Linked DNA regions of Coturnix japonica. The protein of the gene in region 1 interacts with the protein of each later gene in a biochemical or structural test. Links are inferred from orthologs where the notes say so. Each region holds a gene or a part of one and is shown in the gene's direction. Other genes may lie near its edges. The genes, in order: PICK1, PRKN and GRM7.

Region 1 (4,248 bases):
CACTGCTGTCTTTTCAAGTTGCAGATATTGCATTTCCATGGCTAATGCCTTGATCTAACTAACAGCTGGACCTCCTAAGGGATAAGGCTGCCCGGAGAGGTTGCGCTGTCTTCTTCACTGGAGATATTCACTCAAGCTGTGAAGTACCAGGCAGGGGTTGGCCTGAGAACGAGAACATAATCACCATACTTATCCCCCAGAACAGAAAACATGCTTGAAGGACAGCGACTGGGGAGGATGTTAGCTCAGCGTTAGTCATGTTGACTCTAAGCTGACAACAGTAGCAGAAAAGCAGCCAGAAACACGAGATTTAACAGAGACCCACTGCAGGGAAATACATCTGAGTGCCAAGAAGCCAACTAGTCATGCAGCGTGTGATCTGCTTGCAGACTCCTTATTACACGTGATGAAAGATGAACAGAAGAGAGTTTGACTGGCGGAGCCTGGCCTGACTTTGCTGTATTGAGTCTCGAAAGGCGGATAAAAGCCTTGTATTTGCTGAGCTCTCTTGATCCAAAGCATACTGGTAGGCAGTGAGTGCTATGTTTTATGATGATGATGATTTTATTTCAGATGATCATTTTCATTCCTTTTCCCCCTCGGGATGAGGTGATCTGCCGGATCTCTAGCACTGAGAAACACAGCCCTAAGGCACACACCATCTCATTCAGAGCCCATCCAACTGACCCCGAACACATCGGATTGAGTGCACACAAAAGGCAGGGTCACCCAGCACGCGTGTACAAAGGCTTCAGGGATGCTTCCGGGATGAAGTGAGGGCCATATTCAATACACACACACACCAGAGGGGAAGCACAAAAGCGGAGCCCATCAGCCACGCTGCCTTCTAGATGGTGCCCACACGGAGGAGCTCCTGCCTTAGGAATGAACCCCAGCTGGGCGGCTGGTGTAACTTTGGAGGCCCTGGAGTTTAAGGAGCTTTCAGCCAGTGCTCTCAGTCGTAGGGTCTGATTTTCAGGTGGTCCTTTATGGAGCCCGATGGTCCCTACGGCTCCCTTCGCACTTAGAGTATTCAGTGTTGCTATGAATTCTCAGCCTAGAGAAGGTTGCGGGGTGACCTCATTGCAGCCTTACAATACCTGAAGGGAACTTTACTCCCAGGAGGGAGTAAACTCTTCGAAGGGCTGATAATAGCAGGACTAGGGAAATGGTTTTAAGTTGAAAGAGGGAAGATTTAGGTTGGATGTTAGGGGAAGTTCTTCACTAGGAGAGGGGTAGGTACTGAACAGGCTGCCCAGGGAGGTTGTGGATGCCCCGTCCTTGGAGGTGTTCAAGGCAGGGTGGACGGGGCCCTGCGGCAACGTGATCTAGTAAAGGGTGTATGTTTGGTGGCCCTGTGCCAGGCAGGGGGTTGGAACTACATGATCCTTGAGCCCGCCACTCTCAAGATGGCGGATGGAGCGTCCCCGTAGCAACGCGGGCGCTAGAGGAAGGGGGGCGGGCTTTGGCTGCGCGCTTCCGGTCGGCTCCGGCGGCGACGCGTCAGCGGCGGGGTCGGCCCGGCCACCTCTAAAGGTCTCGGCTTTGATGTGGGGCGAGCGGCGGCAGCGTGTGACCGAGCCGCGGGGCAGCGAGCGGGGCCGGGGCCTGGGAGCACAGAGCGGGGCCTGCTGCGGGACATAAGGGATCGGGGGCACGGCAGTTGCTTAGGAAACAGAACAAGGCTGCTGTGTGAGCGGGGAGCGGGCCGCGGGGTGTGGTGCTGTGCCTGGAGCAGAGCGTGCGGCCACCTGGTCCCTACTTGCAGCCCTCTATCAGGGCACCATTCGTCATTCAGAAATAGATGGGGTGGGAGTTGACGTTGGTGCCCTGGTGACCCGCAGAGAGCGCGGCCTTACGGGGGTTTTGCTCTGTGCTTTCTTCCTAGGGAGTTTACAAGAAGGTGCTTTCAGACGGTCAGGTTCCAGTTAGCGAAAAGGATGTTTGCTGATTTGGATTATGATGTTGAGGAGGATAAGCTGTAAGTACGGCACTCATCTTTTGTTTTTCTGACAATAGAAATAGTCTTCACAGAACAAAACAAATGGCAGCAGATAGATTTCCATGTTGCTGACAAGGCCCAGGGAGACCTGGACAGGCTTGAGCAGTGGGCCAAGGACCCCCTCACTTGGCCAAGTGCAAGGTCTGGTATTGCATATCGGTATTGTAAGGTTTTGCACTTGGGCTGGAAGAACCCCAGGCACCTGTACAGGCTGGGAGGAGTGGTCCTTGAGAGCAGCTCGGCAGAGAAGACCTGGGGGTCCTGATGGACAAAGACTCAAACTGAGCCAGCAGTGCGCTCTGGCAGCCGGAAAGCAAATGGGATCCTGGGCTCCATCAGGAGAGGGGTGGCCAGCAGGGATAGGGAGGTGATTGTCCCTCTCTGCTCTTGTGAGGCCCCATCTGGAGTACTGTGTCCAGGTGTGGAGCCCTCAGTACAAAAAGACATGGAGATTTTGGAAAGGGTCCAGAGGAGGCCACAAAGATGATCAGGGGGCCGAGCACCTCCCCTATGAGGACAGGCTGAGGGAGTTGGGTTTGTCAGCCTGGAGAAGAGAAGGTTGCGGTGACCTCATTGCAGCCTTTCATTACCGAAGGGAATTACCCCAGGAGGGAGAAACTCTTCGAAAGGCTGAAATAGCAGGACAGGGGAAATGGTTTTAAGTTGAAAGAGGGAAGATTTAGGTTGGATGTTAGGGGAAGTTCTTCACTAGAGAGTGGTTAGGTCCTGGAACAGGCTGCCCAGGGAGGTTGTGGATGCCCCGTCCTTGGAGGTGTTCAAGCCAGTTGGACGGGCCTGGGCAACCTGACGTAGTAAATGTGTATGTTTGGTGGCCCTGACAGGCAGGGGGGTTGGAACTACATGATCTTTGAGGTCCCTTCCAACTCGGGTCATTCTGTGATTCTGTGGTACCTGGGCTGTGGCAATTTCCACTACCAGTACAGGCTGGGGGATGGAGCACGGCCCTACCAAAAAGGACTTGGGGACACTGATGGATGGCAGCTGGACATGAGCCAGCAGTGTGCCCTCACAGCCCACAGTGCCAACTGTGTCCTGGGCTGCACCCAAAGGAATGTGGCCATTAGGGAGAGGGAGGTGATCCTGCCCCTCTGCACTGTGTTGTGAGACCTTTCCCAGAGTACTGAGTTGAATGTGGAACCCTCAGTACAGGAGAGATGTGGGCATGTTAGACCTGTTAGAGCACATGCAGAGGAGGGCCACAAAAATGAGATGTTCCAAAGGGATGGAACACCTGCCCTATGAGAGAGGAAGTTGAGAGAGCTAGGGTTGTTCAGCCAGGAGAAGAGAAGGCTCCAGGGAGACCAGAGAGCAGCCTCTCAGTATCTAGAGGGAGACTATAAGAAGAAAAGGGACAGATTCTTTTCTTTGTGATAGGACAAGGAGAAATGGTTTCAGACTAGAAGAGAGATTTAGACTGTATGTAGACTTACTTTCCAATAAGTCTAGTGGAGTTCCAGTAAGGAACAGGTTGTCTGGGGGTGTGGATGCTTCATCCCTGGAGATATTCAAGGTCAGGCTGGAGGGGCTCTGAGCATCCTGATCTAGATGTAGGAGTCTCTTTCCATTGTAGGGGGTTTGTCCAGATGGCCTTTAAGGCTCGTTTCCAACCAACAGTTCTGATTCTAAGACCCGCTGAAGGGTCAGGCTCGCTGCTCAATCCTGACTTCTTGCTACCTTGGGGAATGGGGATGAAGTATTGCTGTCTCTCTCCAAGGACTGCTCTGAGCTTCTTGTTGCAAGGTAGTCCTAGCAGTGAATTAGTGACCTTAGCTAGAGGGAAGAAAAAAAAAAAGGTTTATAATGGAAGACAGTACGAGGCAGCCATAAGTGGAGAAAACCTCTGGAGACCATGGGTTTGTAAGGAGCACTGGAGTTTTTTGAACAAGTTTTATGAAATCAGCAGTTTCTTTGGCATGGAGTTTCGTTTTTGTTGCACATACTGATCTCTTACTCTGACACAAAGGCAGCTCAAACACTGTTTAAAGCAACAGTGTTTCCTCTGCATCTCTCCCTCCTTCACTCTGTGCATGCAGTCTCAAAAACAACAGCTCAGAGTGTCTTCCTGTGTTGTCCTGTGCTTATAGACTCTGTGGCACAGTGTGCTTAATTAAAGTGTACAATGTCTATCATGTGTTCAGTTTTTATCGTCACTGATACCACAGTTGTACAGATACAGCTCTGTCTGCCATGTTCAGTTTTCCACTATCCATCTCCTTTCTCATTCT
Region 2 (4,356 bases), on another chromosome or scaffold:
TGTTCAGTAGTTGGAACTACTTTTGCCCTCTATTTTGCTCTTTACTTCTCAAACTGCAATCAAACTAAAATTCAAAATACACTCACTCTTTCAAAAAATCCATATACAAGAATTGCACATTTCAGTTATTTCCAGAACATCTTTATATAGAAATCAAACCCAGTAACAAGATGTACTGCAGGAGACTCTGTAACACATTGTAGGCCGTATGTACTGCACTCCTCCTGACACGGTGTTATGTAATCCTATCCTGGTTTTTAGTAAATTTAGAGGATGTGCAAAACTCAAAATGTTGTGTAAAAAAATATATTGGTCTATGGCCTTAAAGATTATCCAGAAATAGCAAAATCTATATTAAAGGTGTAAAATTGCAAATATTTACAACGTTCATTGCTCAGCAAAAAATCGCCATCATTCTCAACTATATTCGCATGCTTTTAAAGCATTTGACTCCTTTACAGCAGTCAGGTACACTTTGTGTTTGGAAAATCATTGATCCTATTGTCAGTTTAAAAATAGATTTCCTCAAACTGTATGAGCACTTTTGAATTTATGCATCTGTCACTCATAAAAAATTCAAAGGAGTATGTCTTCAGTTAGAACATTGCAGTGGGAATGGGAAATCTTCAAGAGGGATGGTTATTGCAATCAATACCTAAACAGTTCAAATGTCAGGTAGCCAGTGACTAATTGATACAAATGATTTTATTGCTTTATATTACTTGCTAATTCCTTTGCTTTGTGCTAGTGGAACTGTTTATTGGCTGAAGCAGCCCACTGGGATTGAGTGTACTGTTTATGCAGCCTTAGTGACTGGTATGGATGTAGTCAAGCTTTTCTTGTTGCATAGTTCTTGTAGTCACTCCCCTGGTCAAGGGCTCAATGAGCACATTCAGCACCCTTGTGAAAAACAACACTGCCAGCTGAATGGCTGTAAGCTCATGAGTTTATTTGCCAGGCTTCTCAGGATATATAAACCACTCTCTGCAGCTCTAAAAATGATATGGCGAGTGCGGTAGTGATTTCCTGCACTGAAGGAACATGCCAGCAGGAGTTATGTACTGCAGATGTTTTAGTGAACTCTGAAAAGACCACAGTGTAATACAACACTCCCAAACATTTCTGCTAGCGTGTGATTTTTCTCTCCATCATTACCTTCCACAGAATTGTATCTGTGGGGAACCAATTTATGTGACCGTGCTCTGCAGTATAACAGTGAATTGTTTTGCTTAGTATTATTTAATGTAACTTAGCTCTAAAACTCAGTTTTCTGCATGCATTTGTTACGTGCAGCAGGAAAGAGCACAAGGGGCATAGAAAGTGTGTGTGTCCTGTGTCTGTTAAGGTCAGTTGTGGATCAGAGATTTGTTCCAGGACTTAGTGGTTGCCTGGACTGCTGGCTGGATGGGTCCCTTTTGGTTCTGATGTTTCTCTTCAATTTATAGCTCTGCTGGGGGAAGCACGTGGCTTTTGTTTATTAGTCACTAGCTATTCTGTGAAGGGAAATCCCATACAGTTCCTCTTTTCCAAATTATACACTACAGTATTAGTAGCTTTTCTCTTAAAACAGTCAGTGCTCTCTGAAATTGACAAATAAGCCACTTGTAGTCACTCTAGTACAGACCGGCAGTGAGAAATGTTTGCTTTAAAAGGTGTTTTCTCTTTTTCAGTGTTTGTCAGGTTCAACTCAAGCCATGGCTTCCCGGTGGAGCTTGGGTTGGAAGCCAGCATCCTCCAGCTGAAGGAGGCGGTTGCGCAGCGACAGGGAGTTCCAGCTGACCAGCTGCGGGTGATCTTTGCAGGGAGAGAGCTCAGCAACGACTTAACGCTGCAGGTAAGCCTCTGTGGTAGCTTTGCTCCTGGACTGCTGCCAGCTCTGCTGCCTCTGCCTCTAATGCTGCCAATCTGACATTCATTCCTGAGATCTAATAGAATAAATAGTGCCTGGGGATTCCTTGAACTTTACTCCACACTGCTTCATTAATTCTGACCTTCTTAATTATGCATTAAAACAGCAAGCAGGAAGGATAGGGAGAGCATATGAGTGAGAGAGTATGGGAGAGAGCTGTGCCTAGTGAATAAATGTTTACTGACTACAGAAGCAAGCCATGCACAATTTCTGTATCTGTTCAATTTTTATTTTACTTATTCCATTTGAATCTTAATGAAGAAGGATGTGAATAAATTGCTTCAGATCAGGCTGCACGGTCAGCACATTCTGTAGAATTTGTAACCCAATTGTGACCCCTGGAGGATAGCTACAGGGCTGCTGCTGCTGTTCTGAATGCTGCCGTGTGCCATACACAGGTGAACGCACTGCTGGAATGATGGTTCCAGTTCTAAAAAGCTCATGGAAGTGTGATCCAAACCACCAAGCTCATAAATGTGTGAAACTGAGAGCAGCAAGGAGTGTGGAAGAATGGCTATAAGTGGGTATCTGAATTTCAGTTTTTCAAGGTTAGGTAGCTGTTCAGTTCAATAAGTGCAGAATTGTTCATCTGTGATGAGCTGTAGTAAGCATGGAAATATAGGTTCAATTTTCTCTTCCTTGTACTCTTTACTACTCTTCCCAGTGCTGCCACAGTTGCTTTATCATTGTTTTTATTTATACTATGAGTAGTGAATGTGAATTTCAGAGTATGTTCAGGAAGGGGTTAGCATAAGATCATACATCTAAGACATGTAGGAACATAGGAAAACCTAAAGGCCTTTGAATAGAGTGCTCTTGAATTTACTGCCTTAATGAAACTGCTATCCTTCTGCAGTTGTATCAAAATAACAGACACAGTCTCTACTACTGCAGGTGATTATATAAAAGGTCCCTCACAGGCAGAAGTATTTCATGTTAATTAGCAGTCGTGTTTCAGAAGTATTTCTGTAATTAAAATGGATGCTAAGTCTGGGTACAGAAGGGTTACTACTGTATTAATGACCCGTCCTATTTCTCTGTGGTTAAGATACTCAATATTTTGCAAAGGATTTTAGTGTGTTTTAGGACAGAACACAATACAGAAATATGAACTGTTGTCAGTCCACAATGCATAACCTATAGATAGCATTGATGCATATATTTGTGATGTAAACTGCAGTGTATTTCACTTATATTTTTTCACATGTGAGAAGAAAAATAGTGGAAATTACCAGATACCAGTTGCTAGTTCTGGTTGTCTGTGTTATCCTGTCCTAAGCTTATGAACTCCTAGTGTTTCCTGAGCAGCTGTAGGTATTGGTGTTACTGCTATTTTATGTCACAGACATTGAATCATGTTTTTTGCCTTTAAAAAAAATTGCTGTCAGTTACAACATACAATGCTTTGCTGTGCAAATTAAAATGTGCTTTTTGGATATAGAAGCCTGCTGACTATTTGCTTAATTTATTTAATAGGAATGACAGAATTATCAAGTGTAGCCAAGTCTTACTAATAAACCGGATCTATGTTCATTGCTGTGACTTTCATTTTCTAAAGCATATAGGATGTAAAATGGCTATTTCAGGTGGCATAATCCATATTTGTGTATTTAAGTGCCTTACATAATCCAATGATTAATACCAACATGTCAACAAGATTTTTATTCCTGGTATTTAATTATTTTAATTGTTTTTATCTATTCATTGTAGAAATTGTCAACACAAGAAGAATGGTAGATGGTTTGATATATCTGACTTTTCCTACAGAAGGCAATTTGGGGCTTTTTGCATAAGCAGCTGAGTGCTAGTGAAATAGTAACTGCTGGCATTAATGTTGCATCTGTAATATCAGAGTTAACATCACATAGAAGAAAATTAATAACAGTTGTTTTCTGGACCTAATGATTTGCATGCAGATAAAATAAAACAAAACACAACATACATTTTTACATGGCTGAATCTTAGTTCTTGGTAGCTTAGAATTTCTAATTAGACCATTTTTTCCTTTTGTTTTTATAAATTACTTTTGTGCTTACTTACCCAGGATACTGTGGGAGAATTTAGAGATTTGGAATGAGCTGGGATAATCTTAGGAGTGTGGGGCAGGGATATAAGAAATATATCCCTGGATAACAAAGTTTACTGGTTTCACAGCTTGCAGAACTGCTAGATTTGGCTTGACAGCTACTTTGGGATCTCGTGCAGGTGATACAGAACACAACTGAAAATGTGAAAACTACATTTGTTTTCCTGTTCAGAGAGAATGGAAAAATCTTTCATGGTAGCTGAATACTGTAGAAGAGAAATGCATGCTGACTGGACAAATATTAGAGAGAAATAAGGATAAGGAAGAAAATGCCAACTTGAGATCTTTACATAAGTGAAAAATTTGAGAACAACAACAGTACAAAATATCTAGGAACGACAGGAGTGAAATATGTGTGGAG
Region 3 (3,646 bases), on another chromosome or scaffold:
CTGAGAAGGTTAATTATCAGTAACGTAATTATTTTTGTACTGACTTTTATTTTAATCAAACATTGCATGAAACAATTAGGTTCAGAACAAATAGCTTATTACAGAAATGTTTGTGGTGCTGCAAAAAGAAGCAGAGATGTTTAAATTATAGTCATGTATCAACTTTATTCATTAAAATGAACAATTATGCTAGGCCTTATGAGGCAGACTGAGTATTTCTTGCTGATGTTTATTCTGGGTGAGGCTGGAAAAGCCAATCCCTCAGTGCTGTGGGTCCCAAAACAGGAGATTGTACCAAAAAAAGGCAACATCTGTATTTATTGCAAGAGTACCTTCTCAAATTACTTACTTACCGCTTTCTAAGTTATAGGATTAGAGTTTTCAGGTAATTACTTTTTTTGTTATGGGATACATGTTTCTTATATTTACTTATAAATCTTCTATAAGTGCTTAGCACTCTTCATCCATCAGTCTAAGGAAAAAATGGCAGGTCTTTGTTTGTAAACATCACTGACAATACCTCCGGTTTCTGGATGGGGAAATGGAAGAAAATTGAAGGAAGGCCATGAAGAAGTGCCTGTCCTGCTTCTCATCTGCCATCCAGATTCTGACCAGCTGCAAATTAGGTGCCAATCTTGGGAGGGAAGGCTGCAGGCAGGACTGGCACTATGCCCAGGCTGCTGAGGGCAGAAGTGAAGACCAAAAGTGCTTGCTTTCATATGGACTGCTTAAAAATACTGCTTTTATCTGAACCTAACAGCAGCAGATCCCATGGTTTGCTGCTATTAGATTGTATCGAATGAAATGCTCTGCTGTTTTGTTTTCGTTGACAGTCCTATTACAGTAATTGTGGGCAAAAATTATCCTTGCTTTTTCATCAGGTCCTGATCCTGAAACTCTGAACTTGGCAAAATCTGGAAGTAAGTCGTTTCCAGCTCAAAGAGGCCAGAAGTACTGGGGGGAAAATGTCATTAAATAGAAGAAGGTTTATAGATTTAAGTAAATAAAAGAAGGGACTGAATGTAACAATTCCTCAACACAATAGAAGTCATTTCTAGATTCAGGTTTTCAAAAGCCTGTTTCAAAGAAACCGCAGTAAAGGCTGGGAATAGGAGAATAGAATGTATGTTAGGTACAGCCATGAGCTCCCAGGGCTCCCAATACACAGCTGGACAGTTTGTTGCTTTTGTTTACACTTCTGAATGCAGTTATGAAGCAGTAATTTATGACAAAGATGGTAAAACGCTTCAAAAATACTTTGTGTGTGTTTGTGGGGAAAGCATCTCCAGTTTGGATCAGACTCTCTGCTCCCAGCGCCTTCCTCGGTGGCAGGTGGTTTATCTGACAGCAGTTTTCATTATTAATTTTCTAGCCAGAAGCAACAGAGCACCGTGAGCCTTTCTGAGGGCAGTGATACAGAGTTATCATGGCGTGGTCCCAGCAGACCAGAAAAGAACTTTCCATAATTTCGCCTGATCTCCTATTTATCTCCTCACACCGGTATCTGTGCAGAAGGAGATACCTTCAGGCTGTTCCCACTATCTGGCAGTGCACAGGATACTTTGGAGAATATGGAAATTCTCCTTTTTCTGGGTCTGGAGGCGTAGGGGGATGTGATGATGCATTAATAACTCTGTGGTTCTCTGAGCTGTGTAGAAAATTGGTGAGAACCCTTTCGTGGCTGTAGGCTGGGTCAAAATGTGTGCAGGTGGATGCTTTCCTCGTTTCATATCAATGCACGCCATAAAACCAGCATCAAGTAAATTCTGTGGTTAGTAGCTGTGATAGCAAATGGGGGCTCCAGCCTGGGCTGGCATGCCGCTCTGTGGCTGTTCCAGCACTGGTAAGGGGTAGTTGCCCTGCCTTAGCTTTCTTCTTTCCAGACAGGCAAGACAGAAAGCAGTGATAAGGAGGAATCATTCTTCAGCTTCTGTAAGCTGCAAGCCTTCAGCTCAACGCGGCATAAAGGAAGAGTTCCTGGGTCTTTTTTTCTTTCAGAATAAGCAGTGAATATTGAAGGTTAATGAAGTTTCTCGAGCAGTGGCAGACCTCTCAAATATCTGTTATTGAGGGATTATTTCTGTAACGTTGGCAGCAGACTCTCAATAGTATAATATTTGAGCAGTCTGTGGCTTTGGTGTTTTTTTCAGATATATGAAACAAAGTTGGTGCAGGGTCTATTTGGAATTAAATTAGGAGGGTGCGCCTTAATCCTTCAGTTTAAGACATTCTGACCCCAGTCTTCCTGCACACATCAATAATCACAGACAGCTGATTCCAGCAGCTCACCTTAAATTCCCTCAGTTGTAGGAAATATTGGAGCGTGTAAACACTGAAGAACCTAAATTATTAGCTGCAGTGTTGTTTTAGTTGGGCTTACTCACATCTGCCACAGCAGATCAGGTAGTGCATTCGTAAAAGCCGTGCACACACACATGTGCTGCAGGTCGAGGAGTCTGAAGCTCTTCTGTGTGGCTGAGCTGGACCTGCTGCCATGAGTCAGTGCTGGCTGTCAGGACCTCCCCGTGGTCCCAGAATGGGTTATTGCAGGGGAGCAACAGTGCTGACCCTCCTGGGTTCTTAGCATCTGGTCAGTGGCTTTAGTCTGGAATATCTAGAAATGATTTGTGACTCCAATTTTGTGCAGTATTTTGAGCACATACTTGGAGTTCAGGATTCTTCAGACTACAGAACAAATGAGATGTTCCATTTACTTAATACTGTCATTGATAATTTGCATTCCCAGGAGCATGCATGCATGGTATTTCAAATCTGGATGTGACTTTGAAATGAAATATTATCTAATTACACTGTTTTTCACTGATGACAGTTTTCTTTGTACCTCATATTTCTTACACAGCTCTCATCCCATTCTCACCAGTTCCAGCCCCTGTGTACATTTCCACCTTGTTCAGAGGGTTCCCCTGTAGCAGTTGTTCCAGGAGGGCAGAATACTTGCTGTGGTCTTGCTGAGGTGCACAAAAGGCAGTCTCACAGTGTGGTTGTTGCTTTCCCATAAGCCAAATCAAGTGCTCTCACTGATTTTCATGCAGCAAGAAGGGTTTCCACACTGCTGTTTTATCTGGCGCTGTGTCATTCTACCCAAATTTATTGCTAATAAACGTGAAAAAATGGCTGTAGTAAATAGTCTTGGGTTAGAGTCCCATATAAAGGCACTGGTGTGCAGTCTGGAAGAGCACAGTCGTCCACATATAATGTTTTCCATTTGTTTGTTGCAGTGTGCTGCCCCGTGGTCCCCCTGCCCAGCCCGGTGGTAACACCCACATAACAGCCTCCTTCTGCTTCACATGTCTCCTAGATCGACGACATGCAGTGGGGTAAAGGAGTGCGAGAAGTCCCGTCCTCAGTCTGCAGCCTGCCTTGCAAGCCCGGGGAGAGAAAGAAGATGGTGAAGGGGATCCCCTGCTGCTGGCACTGCGAGCTGTGCGATGGATACCAGTACCAGGCTGATGAGGTCACCTGCCTGCTGTGCTCCTACAACGAGCGGCCCAACGAGAACCGCACCGGCTGCCGCTCCATCCCCATCGTTAAGCTGGAGTGGCACTCGCCCTGGGCTGTGATCCCCGTCTTCTTGGCCATGCTCGGGATTATCGCCACCATTTTTGTCATGGCGACCTTCGTGCGC

The links.
Region 2: the proteins of PICK1 (region 1) and PRKN form a complex in vitro, tested with the Homo sapiens proteins (3 studies listed by BioGRID and IntAct, with this or other methods). The link is inferred for Coturnix japonica from reciprocal best matches to the Homo sapiens genes PICK1 and PRKN.
Region 3: the proteins of PICK1 (region 1) and GRM7 form a complex in vitro, tested with the Homo sapiens proteins (2 studies listed by BioGRID, with this or other methods). The link is inferred for Coturnix japonica from reciprocal best matches to the Homo sapiens genes PICK1 and GRM7.

Annotation. Positions count from the first base shown.
Region 1 is NC_029516.1:46,560,803-46,565,050, reverse strand, and holds the start of PICK1 (PRKCA-binding protein), read left to right. Parts: upstream 1-1,448; 5' UTR 1,449-1,536; intron 1,537-1,562; exon of another isoform or gene 1,563-1,692; intron 1,693-1,888; 5' UTR 1,889-1,940; coding exon 1,941-1,981; intron 1,982-4,248. UniProt on the Homo sapiens protein: Probable adapter protein that bind to and organize the subcellular localization of a variety of membrane proteins containing some PDZ recognition sequence.
Region 2 is NC_029518.1:40,121,737-40,126,092, forward strand, and holds the start of PRKN (E3 ubiquitin-protein ligase parkin), read left to right. Parts: upstream 1-1,525; 5' UTR 1,526-1,636; coding exon 1,637-1,834; intron 1,835-4,356. UniProt on the Homo sapiens protein: Functions within a multiprotein E3 ubiquitin ligase complex, catalyzing the covalent attachment of ubiquitin moieties onto substrate proteins. Substrates include SYT11 and VDAC1.
Region 3 is NC_029527.1:16,361,703-16,365,348, forward strand, and holds part of GRM7 (metabotropic glutamate receptor 7), read left to right. Parts: intron 1-3,239; coding exon of another isoform or gene 3,240-3,278; exon of another isoform or gene 3,279-3,319; coding exon 3,320-3,646. UniProt on the Homo sapiens protein: G-protein coupled receptor activated by glutamate that regulates axon outgrowth through the MAPK-cAMP-PKA signaling pathway during neuronal development.